2 linked regions of the Pelodiscus sinensis genome follow. The protein of the gene in region 2 interacts with the protein of the main gene of each other region in a pairwise test. Links are inferred from orthologs where the notes say so. Each region holds a gene or a part of one and is shown on either strand. Other genes may lie near its edges.

Evidence for each region. The genes of interacting proteins can lie anywhere in the genome.
Region 1: the proteins of HOXA1 (region 2) and CHRD interact in binary tests that used the Homo sapiens proteins (3 or more experiments, as listed by UniProt). The link is inferred for Pelodiscus sinensis from reciprocal best matches to the Homo sapiens genes HOXA1 and CHRD.

Annotation. Positions count from the first base shown.
Region 1 is NC_134720.1:48,394,279-48,401,897, reverse strand, and holds the start of CHRD (chordin), read right to left. Parts: upstream 3,088-7,619; 5' UTR 2,776-3,087; coding exon 2,643-2,775; intron 786-2,642; coding exon 682-785; intron 1-681. UniProt on the Homo sapiens protein: Dorsalizing factor. Key developmental protein that dorsalizes early vertebrate embryonic tissues by binding to ventralizing TGF-beta family bone morphogenetic proteins (BMPs) and sequestering them in latent complexes.
Region 2 is NC_134712.1:196,637,283-196,645,169, reverse strand, and holds HOXA1 (homeobox protein Hox-A1), read right to left. Parts: upstream 3,024-7,887; 5' UTR 2,976-3,023; coding exon 2,354-2,975; intron 1,949-2,353; coding exon 1,593-1,948; 3' UTR 409-1,592; downstream 1-408. Other genes in the region: HOXA2 (homeobox protein Hox-A2), read right to left, coding at 7,684-7,887. UniProt on the Homo sapiens protein: Sequence-specific transcription factor. Regulates multiple developmental processes including brainstem, inner and outer ear, abducens nerve and cardiovascular development and morphogenesis as well as cognition and behavior.

The sequences.
Region 1 (7,619 bases), on a different chromosome or scaffold from region 2:
CCCTTCCCCCCCCGCAGGGCTCTGTACTGCCCCCTTCCCCCCCACAGGGCTCTGTACTGCCCCCTTCCCCCCCCACAGGGCTCTGTACTGCCCCCTCCCCCACAGGGCTCTGTACTGCCCCCTTCCCCCCCCCGCAGGGCTCTGTACTGCCCCCTTCCCCCCCCCGCAGGGCTCCGTACTGCCCCCCCCACAGGGCTCTGTACTGCCCCCTTCCCCCCCCACAGGGCTCTGTACTGCCCCCTCCCCCACAGGGCTCTGTACTGCCCCCTTCCCCCCCCACAGGGCTCCGTACTGCCCCCCCCCACAGGGCTCTGTACTGCCCCCTCCCCCACAGGGCTCTGTACTGCCCCCTTCCCCCCCGCAGGGCTCTGTACTGCCCCCCCCACAGGGCTCTGTACTGCCCCCTTCCCCCCCGCAGGGCTCTGTACTGCCCCCCCCCACAGGGCTCCGTACTGCCCCCCCCACAGGGCTCTGTACTGCCCCCTCCCCCCCCCACAGGGCTCTGTACTGCCCCCTTCCCCCCCCACAGGGCTCTGTACTGCCCCCTTCCCTCCCCAGGGCTCTGTACTGCCCCCTGAATGCCCGGGGGAGCCAAACACAGTGCCCACTGCCCACTGTGAAGTGCAGCAACCGAGTGGGCAGCCTCAGAGGTGCTCTAGGGGCAGGAGGGCCCCCACTTACCGGCTCACAGTAGCAGACCACACAGTGCATCACCCCAAAGGGCTCGCCCAGATCCGGGTGCCAGGTGTCTTCCAGGGCATAGAACCTGCCTCCGAACGAGCAGCCTGGAGATGGGGAACAAACTCCTGAGCGCACAGCCGGCAACCCAGCGCCCAGCTGTGACACCCTGCTACACCCAGCGCCCAGCCGTGCCACCCTGCCGCACCCAGCGCCGTGCCACCCTGCTGCACCCAGCGCCCAGCCGTGCCACCCTGCCACACCCAGCGCCCAGCCGTGCCACCCTGCCACACCCAGCGTCCAGCCGTGCCACCCTGCCGCACCCAGCACCCAGCCTGTGCCACCCTGCCGCACCCAGCGTCCAGCCGTGCCACCCTGCCGCACCCAGCGCCCAGCCGGGCCACCCTGCCGCACCCAGCGTCCAGCCTGTGCCACCCTGCCGCACCCAGCGCCCAGCCGTGCCACCCTGCCACACCCAGCGTCCAGCCTGTGCCACCCAGCCACACCCAGCGCCCAGCCTGTGCCACCCAGCCACACCCAGCATCCAGCCTGTGCCACCCAGCCACACCCAGCACCCAGCCGGGCCACCCTGCCGCACCCAGCGTCCAGCCGTGCCACCCTGCCGCACCCAGCGTCCAGCCTGTGCCACCCTGCCGCACCCAGCGCCCAGCCGTGCCACTCTGCCGCACCCAGCGCCCAGCCGTGCCACCCTGCCGCACCCAGCGTCCAGCCTGTGCCACCCTGCCGCACCCATTCTGTGCCACCCTGCTGCACCCAGTGACCAGCCATGCCACCCTGCCGTATCCAGCACCCAGCCTGTGCCACCCTGCCGCACCCAGTGCCCAGCCTGTGCCACCCTGCCACACCCAGCGCCCAGCCTGTGCCACCCCGTCGTACCCAGAGCCCAGCCTGTGCCACCCAGCCCCCAGCCGTGCCACCCTGCCGCACCCAGTGCCCAGCCATGCCACCCAGCGCCCAGCTGTGCCACCCTGCTGCACCCAGCGCCCAGCCGTGCCACCCTGCCGTACCCAGCACCCAGCCTGTGCCACCCTGCCGCACCCAGAGCCCAGCCTGTGCCACTCTCATTCCACCAGGTTTCAGTGATGCCTATAAAAGGCTATTAGCCAGGGGATAAAATGGTGTCCTTGGCCTCTGTTTGTCAGAGGCTGGAGAGGGATGGCAGGAGACAAATCGCTTGATCATTGTCTTCCGTCCATCCTCTCTGGGGTACCTGGTGGTGGCCACTGTCGGCAGACAGGATACTGGGCTAGATGGCCCTTTGGTCTGACCCAGTACGGCCGTTCTTATGTTCTCCCTGCCGCACCGTCCTGTGCCACCCTGCTGCACCCACATGTGACTTTGCGGCCCAGCACCCGGCCTTGTGCCACCCTGCTGCACCCAGACGGACTCCCCCCTCACATCCAGCCAATCCCCCTCTTCTGCTCTCCTGTGGCAGCCAGGGGCTGGCCTGGGCCCACTCACCCTGGGCCATCTCTGCCCGCCCGCTGCACCCAGGACACCTCACACAGCCCATGTCCATGCCATGGGGGCTTGCCGGCTGCCTCTGGCCCCTCGCGCAGGCCCTGGCACCCGCCTGCTGCCTCTGGCACGGGGCAGGGCTCTGCCCCCCTGCCCCAGCCCTGGCACGCGCCTGGCAGGGCTGGCGCGGGGCTGGGCCAGCGGGCAGGGCTGTGAGCTGCCGCGCTGGTGACACGCTGCCCGGCCCGGCCCCTCCCCGCCGCTGTCACGCGTCCAAGCCGAGCGCACGGGGGTGTCAGTGGATGCAGGCGAAGCAGATGGAGGCTGGAGCGCAGCTGGGCCAGGGAGGGCAGCAGGAGTCGCTCCGCGGGCCCCGCTCGCCCCAGCCTGGCCCCCGGCCGCCCCCGCCCCCCCGACCAGCCGCTGCCCCGCGCCGCCCGGGGGGCTCCCACCTGCCGCCCCATCCCCGCGCCCCGGGCCCCTACCTGCCGCCCCCTTGGAGGGGAGCGGGTCCTTCTCGGGCTGGATGGGCAGCAGCGGCTTGGGGCGGGAGGCGGCGGCCGGCGCGGGGCGGAGGGCGAGGGACAGCGCGGCCAGCAGCAGCGGCAGGCGGGCCATGGGCGCGCACGGCTGGGACCCCGCGGGCGGCGCGGGGCGAGTCAGGGCTCCCAGTGCCCCGGCCCCGGCCCCCGGCAGGTTTTATAGGCTCCGGCACGGGCCGCGCGGAGCGGGGGCATCCTGAGCAAACAAAGGCCCCGCTAACGAGGCGCAGGCAGCCGCCGGCCGGGGGATTAGGGCCCCCAGCGGGGGTCCCAGCGCCCGCGGCCCGGAGCCCAATGGGAAGCAGACGCGGGGCCGCGGGGGGCTTGTGGATTGGGCCCGCGGTGCGCGCAGCCCGCCCGGCCGATCCGCCCAATGGCAGCGGGCGGGGAGCCCGACGGGGGGAGCGGGACGGGACAGCCCGGCCCCGCGCACGCCCCGCTCCGCGGAGCTGCCTCTGCCCCGACTGACAGCCCCGGAGAACAGACGGAGGGGCCCCCGCCCTGTCCGCGGCAGGGAAGCCCGGGCCCCCGCACCTCCTGCTGCGCTGCCGGCCCCCTCTGTGCTGCCCGAGCCCCGCACCTCCCGCTAGAACCCCTCCGCACCCACCTCGCTGCCTAAAACCCCCGCATGCCTCTGCTTGAACCCCCTGCACCCCCTGTGCTGCCTGAAACCCCTGCACCCTCCTGCTTGAACCCCCTGCACCCACTGTGCTGCCTGTACCCCCTGCACCCTCCTGCTTGTACCCCCTGCACCCCCTGTGCTGCCTGAAACCTCTGCACCCCCTGCCTGTACCCTGTGTACCCGCTGTGCTGCCTGAAACCTCTGCACCCCCTGCCTGTACCCCATGCACCTACTGTACTGCCTGAAACCTCTGCACCCCCTGCCTGTACCCTGTGTACCCGCTGTGCTGCCTGAAACCCCTGCACCCCCCCTGCCTGTATCCCCTGCACCTTCCTGCCTGTACCCCCTGCACCTACCATGCTGCCTGAAACCCCTGCACCCTCCTGCCTGTACCCCCTGCACCCACTGTGCTGCCTGAAACCCCTGCACCCCCCTGCTTGTACCCCCTGCACCCGCTGTGCTGCCTGAAACCCCTGCACCCCCCTGCCTGTACCCCTTGCACCTACTGTGCTGCCTGAACCTCCTGCAGCCCCTGCCTGTACCCCCTGCACCTACTGTGCTGCCTGTACCCCCTGCACCCTCCTGCTTGTACCCCCCTGCACCTACCATGCTTCCTGAAACCCCTGCACCCTCCTGCCTGTACCCCCTGCACCCACTGTGCTGCCTGAAACCCCTGCACCCCCTGCCTGTACCCCCTGCACCCACTGTGCTGCCTGAAACCCCTGCACCCCCCTGCCTGTACCCCCTGCTCCCACTGTGCTGCCTGAAACCCCTGCACCCCCTGCCTGTACCCCCTGCACCCACTGTGCTGCCTGAAACCCCTGCAACCCCTGCCTGTACCCCCTGCACCCACTGTGCTGCCTGAAACCCCTGCACCCGCCGTGCTGCCTGAAACCCCTGCACCCTCCTGCCTGTACCCCCTGCACCCACTGTGCTGCCTGTACCCCCTGCACCCTCTTGCCTGTACCCCCTGCACCTGCCCTCCTGCCTGTACCCCCTGCACCCTCCTGCCTGTACCCCCTGCACCTGCCCTCCTGCCTGTACCCCCTGCACCCTCCTGCCTGTACCCTCTGCACCCGCTGTGCTGCCTGTACCCCTGCACCCTCCTGCCTGTACCCTCTGCACCTCCTGTGCTGCCTGAAACCCCTGCGGTCACTGTGCTGCCTGAAATCCCTGCACCCTCCTGCCTGTACCCCCTGCACCCGCTCTGCTGCCTGTACCCCCTGCACCCTCTTGCCTGTACCCCCTGCACCTGCCCTCCTGCCTGTACCCCCTGCACCCTCCTGCCTGTACCCTCTGCACCCGCTGTGCTGCCTGTACCCCTGCACCCTCCTGCCTGTACCCTCTGCACCTCCTGTGCTGCCTGAAACCCCTGCACCCTCCTGCCTGTACCCCCTGCACCCACCGTGCTGCCTGAAACCCCTGCACCCTCCTGCCTGTATCCTACTGTGGTGCCCGGAGCCCCGCACCTCCCGCCTATAACCCCTCCACACCCACCACGCTGCCTGAAACCCCCACGTGCCCCTGCCTGTACCCCCTGCACCCACTGTGCTGCCTGAAACCCCTGCACCCCCCTGCCTCTACCCCCCCTGCACCAACCATGCTACCTGAAACCCTGGCACCTTCCCGCCTGTACCCGTCCACCCACCCTGCTGCCTTAAATCCCTGAACCCTCCTGCCTGTAACCACTCCGCACACACCACACCACCTGAAACTCCTGCACCCTGTTGCCTGTACCCCCCGCATCCACAGTGCTGCCTGAAACCCCTGTACCCCTCTTGCCTGTATCCTCTGCATCCACCATGTTGCCTGAAACCCCTGTACCCCCATCTGTATCCCCTCGCACCCACCATGCTGCCCAGACCCCCGCACCGATCGCCTGTAACCCCTCTGCACCCACTGTGCTGCCTGAACCCCCCACACCCTCTTGCCTATATCCCCCGTCCCTCAGTGCACTACTGGACCCCACCCTGTTGCCTGGACCCCTGCAGCCCCCACCTGTATCTTCTGAACCCCACTGTGCTGCCTGAAACCCTCTCACCCCACCACCTGTATCCCCCTGCGCCCACCAGGGCGCCTGAAATCCCTGCATCCCTGCCTGTATCCACCTGCACCCACTGTACAGCCTGAAACCCCTTCCCCGCACCAGACTGCCCAGGCCCCCGTATCCCACCTGTATCCTCCACACCCCACCGTAGTGCCTGAAATCCCTGTAATCCTCTGCCTGTATCCCCCACCCTATTGTGTTGCCTGAATCTCCTGCCCTCTCACTGCACTGCCCAGACCCCCCCCATCCCAGTCAGTACCCCCTGCCCCTCATTGTGCTGCCCGGATCTCCTGCCCCCCACTGCACTGCCTGGATGCCCCCACCCTCTGCCTCTAACCTTTGCCCCATCACATTGCTGGACCCCTTGCCCCCCACCCATATCTCCTGCCCCCTCCACTGTGGTGCCTGGACCCCTCCACACCCTGCACTGTGCTTCCCGACCCCCTGCTGCCTGTACGCCCATGTCCTCCACAATGCTGCCCTGACCCCCCGCACCTTCCACTGTGCTACCCAGACCCATGCTGCCCCCCATATCTCCCTGCCCCCCACATTGCCCAGACCTTCAGCACCCCCGCTCATATCCCCTGCACTCCCCATCCTGTGCACCTCTCCACTGCACAGCTCATACCCCCACAACTCCCATCTCTCTGCACAGCCTGCACCTCCCACACCCCTTCCGGGTCCCCACCTATACCCCTGCATCCCACAGCTCTCTGCACAGCCCATATCCTCCTGTACCCACAGCCCCCACCCCAGTGCACAGCCTGCACTCCCACCTCACCCCCGTCCCACAAGTGCTGTCCGCACCCCACCACACAGCTCATATCCCTGCACCCCACCCCGCCCATACCCCCTGAACACCCTGTGCCGCCTGTACCCCATCCTATGTGTTCCCTCTGCACCTCCACCCTCCTGCACAGCCATTCCTTCTGTACTCCCACCCCACCTGTACCCTGCTCCCCCATCCCACCTGAACCTCCTATCCCGCCTACCATGTTCCCATTACTTTTTTCCATCCATGGGCAGAATAAATGTTGTTCTATGCACCAGGGCATGTGCGGAGGTGCACCACCCATAGAAACACGCTGCCAGCTGCTGCCAGCTGGGGGTGCTCTGCTAATCAGCTGGGCGGTGTTTGAACTTCTCCTGGGTGGCCGCCCGAGTGCCCAGCTTGCAGGGATCACAGGCCACGGGCCCCACCCACCTGCATGCGCTATCCCAGATGTGGGCGTGCCACGGATGTGGACGGAGGCAGCAGGGTGTTCTCCGTCCTACCCTCTAACCCTTTCTCAGTCATTCCCACCCCCTCTGTTCGCCTCTTTCCACTGCCGCTGCCTGTTGAGTAGAGGTTTTCACCGAACTGTCCACGATGACTCTAAGCCCTTCCCGCCCCGCCCCCAGGCTCTCTCCAGCTTCCCGGGTGCTCAGGGTTCTAGGCCTGACTCTGTGTGACCTTGCTAACCAGCAGCTGCAAGGGTGCAGGCTGGGCCTGGGGACAAGGAACTACCCCACCCCGGATGAACCCAGCCCCCCTCCCACAAATGGGGCTGTGTGCTCAGCCCCTCCCAAGAGGGCTCCTTCCTCAGGCAGGATCAGGCCCTGCCTGCCCCCATGTAGCTGCTATGCTGTGGAAAGGTCGGTGCACAGCCCTAATGCAGACCCAGCACTCCATAAAACCAGTCCGGTATCCTCCAATATAGCCCTGCTGCAAGGCACAAGATGCTGCACCTGCTGGCTTGGAGGGATTTCTGTTGCGGACAAGGAATATGGCTTGGTTTACAAGCTCTCAGCCCCCTAGCTACACATGTGGTTCCAGCCCTTCTGAGGAGCAGGCTGACCAGCTATATTTCGTCACACAACGCAGAAACAACCTGTGGAACTCCTTGCCAGAGGATGTTGCGAAGAACAGGACTTTAACAGGGTTCAGAAAAGAATGAGAGCAGTTCATGGGGAATAGGTCCATCAATGGCTATTGGGCAGGATGGGTAGGGGTGGTGTCCTAGCCTCTGGTTGTCAGAAGCTGGGAACGGGTGACAGGGAAGGATCACATGACGATTCCCTGTTTTGTTCACTCCCTCCCACACCTGGCATTGACCACTGTGGGCATGCAGGACACTGGGCTAGACGGACCTTTGGTCTGACCCAGTCTGGCCGCTCTTATCTCCTTACATCCCCTGAGTCTGGGAACTGTGTGGGGTGGGGCACCTGAGGCTAATACCCCTCACTATTGGTTCGCCTGCTGCTGGGTCAG
Region 2 (7,887 bases):
ACATCCTAAAGATGTCACTGGCAATGGGAGAGAGAATGAAGCTGCATTTCTTGGGTCAGCTTTAAACCAGGGCTAATTAAATGTGACTCTCTGAACTATGGGCCTACGATGTGAAGGAAAACTGACTGAAGACAGTTTCTGCTTTTGAAGAGTGCTGTTTATATCTATGTCAGCGTGCAGTTCGAGGTGAAAAGGTTAGCACTTGAACCAGGAAGTTCTAGTATGTGTTTTTCAAAAATAGATCTAGTTCATAAATTCCCTCTGCTGCACTAGAGAGCGGGTGTTTTCTTATATTTCCTAAAAGATAATATTGGTGAAACATTAAAAAAAGGGAATTAGACTTGTGTAATGTGGCAGGGTCGAACAGAGTTCTGACCTCACCTCACGATCAGGAGAAATTATTTTTTATTAAGTCGCATATCAAAGGCCACATCAGTGACAATGAAATGTTGAGCTAAGTATGATCAACAACGGCACGAGAGGAAATAAAAAGGACCCACATCAAGCATACCTGAAACGTGAATATATTTATTACAGACATTTTCGGACCCGTAAATTCTGTTCTGGATTCATCACGCTCAGAATCTCAGAACCTTTAAATGATTGCACAGAAAAATCAGGAAGATGGTTCTGTTCACAAATGACAACTGATAAAACTCAGTGTACCTTAAGTACATCAAAGCACTGTGCATCATGCAGTGTTCCATACACGAATCACATAAAATATACATTCATTTGGCCATTCATCACATTTACGATTTGGTCGAAAAGACATCGAGTCGAGGGTAGGATTAATATGAAAATAGGAGTAGGTCAGGTCTTTTGGATAATATACCCTTAGGTCCAATATAATCCAGCACAGATGGGGGAGTGAACATACCACGCAAGGTTTACAAAACCTAGTGCAATTGAAGCCTTTTTCTTCTATCTCATCAAAAGAAACCGTGCCATTATTTGAGGTATCTGATTGACATTAACAAATCATCTTATATGATCATCAGTTTTAACAATATAAAATTGAATCCAACTTTGAGAATGTACCTACCCTATTTAATCTGATAATCTAAACAGCATTTCTAGAAAATCTGTAAAAAGATAAATCTCTTGGACAAAGTATTTACAACCAGCAAACTCATACACACGAAAAAGAATACATTAAATTAAAGGATGAAGGTACTATAATTCGTGTAAACACTCTCAATAGTGCATCTCTTCATGAGGTTATGTACTCTACATATCCTGTCTTTATGTAAGGAAAAATATAGAAATGTCCTTGATTTTTTTTTCTACTGAGAGAAACTCTTATAACTGTGCCAACAAATCTTCTGCAGCAAATAACAGCGCGAGCTGGAATTTTTAAAAATAGAAATATTGAATAAGTGGTCAACAGAAACCTGATTATGGAAACCACTGTTTAGTTCTGCATAGACTAAACAGCCGGAGAGCCTTCTAAAACTAAATTCTCTGGAAACAAGTGGATTGAAAGTAAAGATGACTGAAAGATTAAAAATACTTTAAATCAATGAAGCTTGCTAAAGATGTGGCTCTAGAGTGAGAGACATAGATCTAATGCAGTGGGGGCCAGAAATATTTCAGTTTGAGGTAGTTAGAGTGTCTGAGGTAGATGAAGCTGGTGATGGGGTGCATGGGGATGAACTGGACTTTTCTGATGATTCTTCTGTTTTTTCTTCACTTCCTGTTGGGGTAGCAGGGGAAATGGGGAGCAGCCCCTCTTTCTCTCTTTTCTTCTGCTTCATTCTACGGTTCTGGAACCAGATCTTCACCTGTGTTTCATTCAGCTGCAGTGAAGCAGCTATCTCCACCCTCCTTGCCCTCGTCAAGTACTTGTTGAAGTGGAATTCTTTCTCCAGTTCTGTGAGCTGCTTGGTGGTAAAATTGGTCCGAACGGTGTTGGGCTGACCTACGTATCCGTACTCTCCAGCTTTCCCTGCAAAAGTACAGTCAGCGTTCAATGAGTGAGGCACAGGCGACATAATCACAGCATGTACACACAGGTAAAACGATATGAAACAAGAACTTCTTACAACGAGAGGAATCCGGGGACAGTGAGTGATGGAGTGTGAGGTGCTAACATAAAGTCGGCCACTAGTGTGTATCAAAGGCAACTTGATAAATTGTTTACGAATTACAAGAAATATTACCACAGAAAACCCCCGCTTGGAACTTCCATTCGATCAGCTGGAGGACCCTGTCCATCCTTAGTGGTCTCAGACCTCCTTACCTGTAAACAACAAGGCACCTGCCCGCTGTAGGTAAGAAGGGTTTGGTCTCGTTTTATTAAAGAAAGTGGAAGAGGAAAGAAACAGCCCCCTGCTCTGAAATCGCGACTAACCTGTTTTAGGCGGGTTTCTTTTAACTTTCATCCAGTCAAAGGTTTGTGCTGGAGGCGAGGTCTCTGCAGAAGGAGAGCGACAAGCTTCTTGGTGGCTGGCATGGAGAGGGGATAAGGAATTGCTATAACTCGCTAGAGGCAGGTTCTGCTGCTCCTGTCCGTATGAGGGGTGCATGTACTGAGCGGGACCCACCGGGGCCCCAGCATAACCTTGGTGAGGGTGGGGATGCTGGACCATGGCAGATGAGAGGTTTCCAGAGTACACGGCGGGGGCGCATTGGGGATACCCTCCACTGACATCTGCTTCCTGATTTAGTGCGTAGGGACTGTAACCCGCGCTGAAGTTCTGGGTGCCATATCCCGTGCCACAGCTAGAGTAGGACATGCCCAGATTGTTGTGAGGCTGGTAGGCACCGGTCTGATGGTGGTGGTGGTGGGGACTTATCTGGACCCCCCTGCCAACCATAAAGCGATCCTCCCCGTTGCAGTGAGTGGCAGTGACCGCACAGGACTGGAAAGTTGTAATCCCATGCTCTGGGGGGTAGGTGCGGGAAGAGCATGCCCCGGGCTCGCCGCCGAGGATGGGGTACTCGAGGAAGGAACTCATCCTCGCCGTGTCCATTTATCACCGAGTGGCCGGGTCTTCAGAGCCCTGGGTGACCGTGCCAACTTTCCCACTTCCTCCATGGGGCCGGGAGGAAAATGATATGAATGTACAGTGAGCTGGGGGCACGTGAGGGCGGCAGCCAATGGCTGAGCCTCCTGCTGCAAGGGCCCTGCTCCGGCTGGTGATGGATCACCCTTTCAGTGGCATTTAAATTCCGAGCGCTCCTCCATCAAGGTGACGCGAAGCCGCCACCACCTCCCTCTCCCCCCCCCCGGCTCCCTCCCCCTGAGCCAGTGCATTGGGGCTTCGGAGCCGGGGCCGGAGAGACAGTGTGCGCCCGGGCGCGCAGCCTGCAGCAGCGGAGGCGCCACTGGAGGGGTTGAAGGGGGGGGGGGGGGGTTGCAGCCTGGATTACAGGGCTCGGAGCCCCAGCTGGAGGCGGCCAGGTAAGAGGCGCTCGCTCGCTTTGGGCGCCCACAGCGGGTCGGGGCCGCTCCCTTCCCAGGGCGCTTGGAGGGGTGGGGGTGTCCAGCGGTCCTCAGCGCCGCTCCAGGGAAGTCCCCTCGGCGATCGGGACAGCCCCCCCCCCCCGTGGTCCTACGGCTGGAGGGTGCATGTGCGGGGCGGGGAAGCGGGCTGTGCAAAGGGGGGCTCCGAGCGGCGTTGCGGGGCTCACACCGCCCGGGGGGGGTATCCCCTTCCGGAGAGCCCCGCGCTCGAGCAGCTAAGAGTTAAAGGGGCTTGTCCCTCCGGGTCCCCGCCGCGCCGCTGTGATTAGCATGGAAATGAGGCGCCTTTGTAATTTAACGCCATTGTGCTGGGGCGCGGGGCCAGCGGAGCGGCCGGAGCGCTGCTGCACCGGCCCCTGGTTGTTAGGGCTCTGCCTAGAGCTCGGTCGGTGTCGGGGCTGGGGAGGGGACGGGGGGCGGAGAGCGGGGAGGAAAGGCAGGAAAATGGATGACGATTGCAAACGTGGAAGCTTTTCCAGGTTCTGCAATCCATCTGCGGGGTCCTGTGCCACACACACACACACACACACACACACACACACACACACACACACGGATGCAATGCGTGAGATCCAGGGACAGGTCCTAACACACCCAAGCACTGGAGGACATGCCCAGGAGTTAGGGGGAGGGGAAAGCAAAGGAGGTGAGGTGCCAGCCACAGCAGTCCCTATTTCCAATTAATCCTCTTTGTCACTTGGTGGCTGCCTACTCCACCATAGAGTAGACAGAGAGTAGAGGGGAAAGGTAACAGATGGCTAAGCCCCTCCCTCCCCCCCCCCCCCCCCCACACCACCACAACCCCCTGGGTGATCTATCTCAAACTTTCTCTTGTTCCAGGCAAGGAAAATTGTACCATTTTATAGAAAAGCGTGGATGGTGTTTGGCATCTGAGTTCACATTCACCTTATCTTTTCACACAGTTCAAGAGCTAGTCAACATGCAGATAGCCATGTAACTTCGGAAATAGTTTTATTCTTATCTTTTTCAGTCTGAAGAACTCTCCGTGTATTTATGCAGATACACTTCAACTTTGGCATGTGTTGCTTTGTCACCGTGCCCGATTGATTGTTGCTTGTATCTTAAAATATAAAAGGCTATTTCCCCCTTTCCTTTCTCCAGCCCTCTCCCTCCACCCACACACACTGAAGTGCAACATCCTCTTCCAAGTGATAAGCTACCAAAAGTTTCCGAGGCTCCTATTCGGGCTACCCATGTGTTCGTTTCACCTCCATAGCCCCCCCTGATATCACCGAATATACGTTCCCCCTCTTAAACTTATCCATAAAAGGTTTGTCTTTCTATTTACATTTTACACACTTGAACAGATTAGAGTCGATTGAAAACATCCAATGTCTTTAAAAGCGGGGGGGGGGGGGTGTCAAAGGGAGGGGTGGCCAGCAAGCCGGTATGGAACAATGGTCCCTCAAACCCTTTTTGGGCTGCAATATTGTCTTATTTAATTCTTGTCAATCCGTTGTGATAAATGCTGTATACACCAGGTGCAGACTCGGGCTGGTGTATCTGTTTACCGAAAAAGAGATGTCTTTTTCCTGGGTCTCTCTCTCTCACACAAACTTTGACGATTAACAAAAGTGTATAATATACCATGCATGTATAATCTATTTATATACACCACTGATGTCATACCATCATATTAATAGAACAGAATTGTTTACTGCAAGAACAGTGAACTTCTCTCCATATTTAAAAACAATGTAGCTGCAAATCTAACAGCAGATAGAATTCCTTTCCCAATATTTACCCGTGGTTTTTGCCAAGTAACAGCTCCTCTGTTACTCTCCTTTGCTTCCTTTAAACGGTTTCCTTCATTTCTGTACCATTGTTTTGAAGAAATCCGTGTCTTTTGTTACATTGTCCTCCTTCAATGCCTCGGATTCTGCTGCCATTACAGTGCCTCCATGCCACATAATGGAAAGGAGGGACACCAGGGATAAAATACCTCTTCTCCCTCCCAAAGAGAAAAGTTGCCCTCAGACACGATGGCATATGCACACAAAATTCAGAGCTATGCTGCTCTTATAAAAGGAAAACCTTTATGCTAGCCCCCAGCCTGCCCCCTTTGTTGCTTCGGCCCATCGGTTTGCAGAAAGTCGAGTTCCTTCCCCAGCAATTCAAAGCTTTGAAGCATTTCTGGCGCCTCGTGCGCATTCTTGGAACATTCCCCAAATAATACTTGTGTGTATATGCCTGTGTGTCTTTCACACACACACACACACGAACTTTAGGGGTAACAATGCGTTTCTTAGAGGAATTCTATCAGCTAGATTTGCAGATATTGAATTTAAATAAATCCCGAGAGAAGTTTGCTGGCCTTTGATTAAACAGCCCGGTCCATTTAAGAAGACGCTATGACATCACGCTGTGTAAAAGTCTTAGCGAAATATCGTAACGCCAATAATTAAAGTCCATTCGAACAGGCGTTAAAATCCTCGAGGAAACTGCCCTGTTCCAAAAGCGAAAGTGCTGAAGCAGGGAGAGAGAGAGAGAGAGAGAGAGAGAAGCTGGGCCGAGGTTTCTGCGGCATCCGCAGCTCAGCCAATCTGTTGTTTTAAACGAGCAATAAAAATGAATTATGACTAAACGCCTCCTAACTTAATGGTTTCAGACGGGGATCCCCGGCTCCGGCAAATACGTAAGAGGATTTTTATTTGTGCATGTGTTCCTGTCATTGATCTCTTTGATGACATTCTCATTCATAGAAAGAGCGTGATTTATGAGTTTAGGAAGAATTGCATCCAGCCCTTCCAGCTATTGCCCACGCATCCCAGCTCCACAGAGTGTTGCGGATCAGAGAAACAACACACCTCAAATGAAATGGAAACAAACTACTCCAGACACATGGATTCATTGACCGCGTTTCAGATATACCCCAGAATATTCAAAATCAAAAGGCGACGCGATCTGTGAGCAGTAAAACTACTTACTAAGCATCTGTTGCTTGATTTTAGCGCAGTATAAAAAGAAACCCGCTCGCCTTCTGAACTGGGTTATTAATATCGATAATATATTCTTACCTAATTAGTTGTAGTTTTTAATGAGCTTCGTTACCGCTGTAATTAAAAAAGTTACACATTTGGGACAGTGAGCCGTTCAAGTGGCTTCATTGCAATTGAAACATGTTCACCATTCGCTTCCAGTTTTAATGACCCACCCTTAGCATCGCAAACCGGTTTTAAAAGAAAGCGACCTCGTTATGAGACCCCGCAGAAAAGCCCGAAAGGAACTGCATTTAGAATTTAAATCCCTCCGAAATGGATTTTCTCGATAATAATTGTTCTTATTTCCTCTCTTTTTTAGGTTTGTTTTCTTGGAATCTTTCAGCACATGGGAGCTAATCCAAGCCGCACTTTGTTAGCCTTTGTATTTTTAAGGACGTGTTTCAGAAAACGACCTGGTGGACATATTTGCGCTGAGTTACAGAAGAATACGGTGTTTAAAATGAGTCTTCCACTCGTGTAACAAGCCAGCTTCTATGGCAGGCACGTTCCCATGTATAATAGATTATATTTTGCCTGTAACAGCCGAAACTGCACATTATGGTTTTTGTCACGAGTTAGAAAATCCAAGACTTGCGTTCACACACATAGACAACCTGTTATATGTACATTAAAAAGAAGAAATCTTGATGTGGAGGGGTTTAGTTATTACCTTTGTTGGTGAGACTCATCGGGTACTTTGAATTGACTTGTGAGAACCTTTGCAATAAAGAAATTGAATGTGATTTTTTTCGCTCTAATAAATCTATCAAATTACCAAAAGGTGAGAGATTGTGACCAGAATGTCTAATGTTATTTCTGAGGATAAATTAGGAGGGGTGGGGGGGAATACCCGTTATGTCTAGAGAGAGAAAGAGAGAAGAAAGCTACTTGTAGCAAACAAGAATTTATTCTACCAAAAATACTTATGACAACGCATCCTAATGTAATACAAAAATAAAAAGAAAGTGAAGATACAATTCTATATGATCACTTTCTTACAGGCCTCATATATTGCTTTCATAGAGGGACCTAGAATGTGACTAGGTTAAAATGGACACAACTAAAACTTCATAAGAAACAGTAAAAATGGCTCTGGAACACAGTACAGGGAATTAATAAACAGAAAATACTGACCAGGAAAAGAAAAATCAAAAAAGGAATTTGAAACAAGAAGCCATAACCCTTTGCGATAGATAGGACGTCTTTAATTTCTCAATAATTCAGATGCTGCAAGTCAATGGTAGTGAGTGTGTCTGTAAAAAAGTCAAAACTGTCAGCAGAAATATCTACAGGACTGTCCAGAGATCCTGGCAAACTGGGTGAAACTGCATCTGAGAGCTGTAGGCAGGAATCTGTGGAGAAAACGCTAAAGTCCTGTAAAGAAGGGACATCTAGGGCCTCAGGACTGTCATTGTT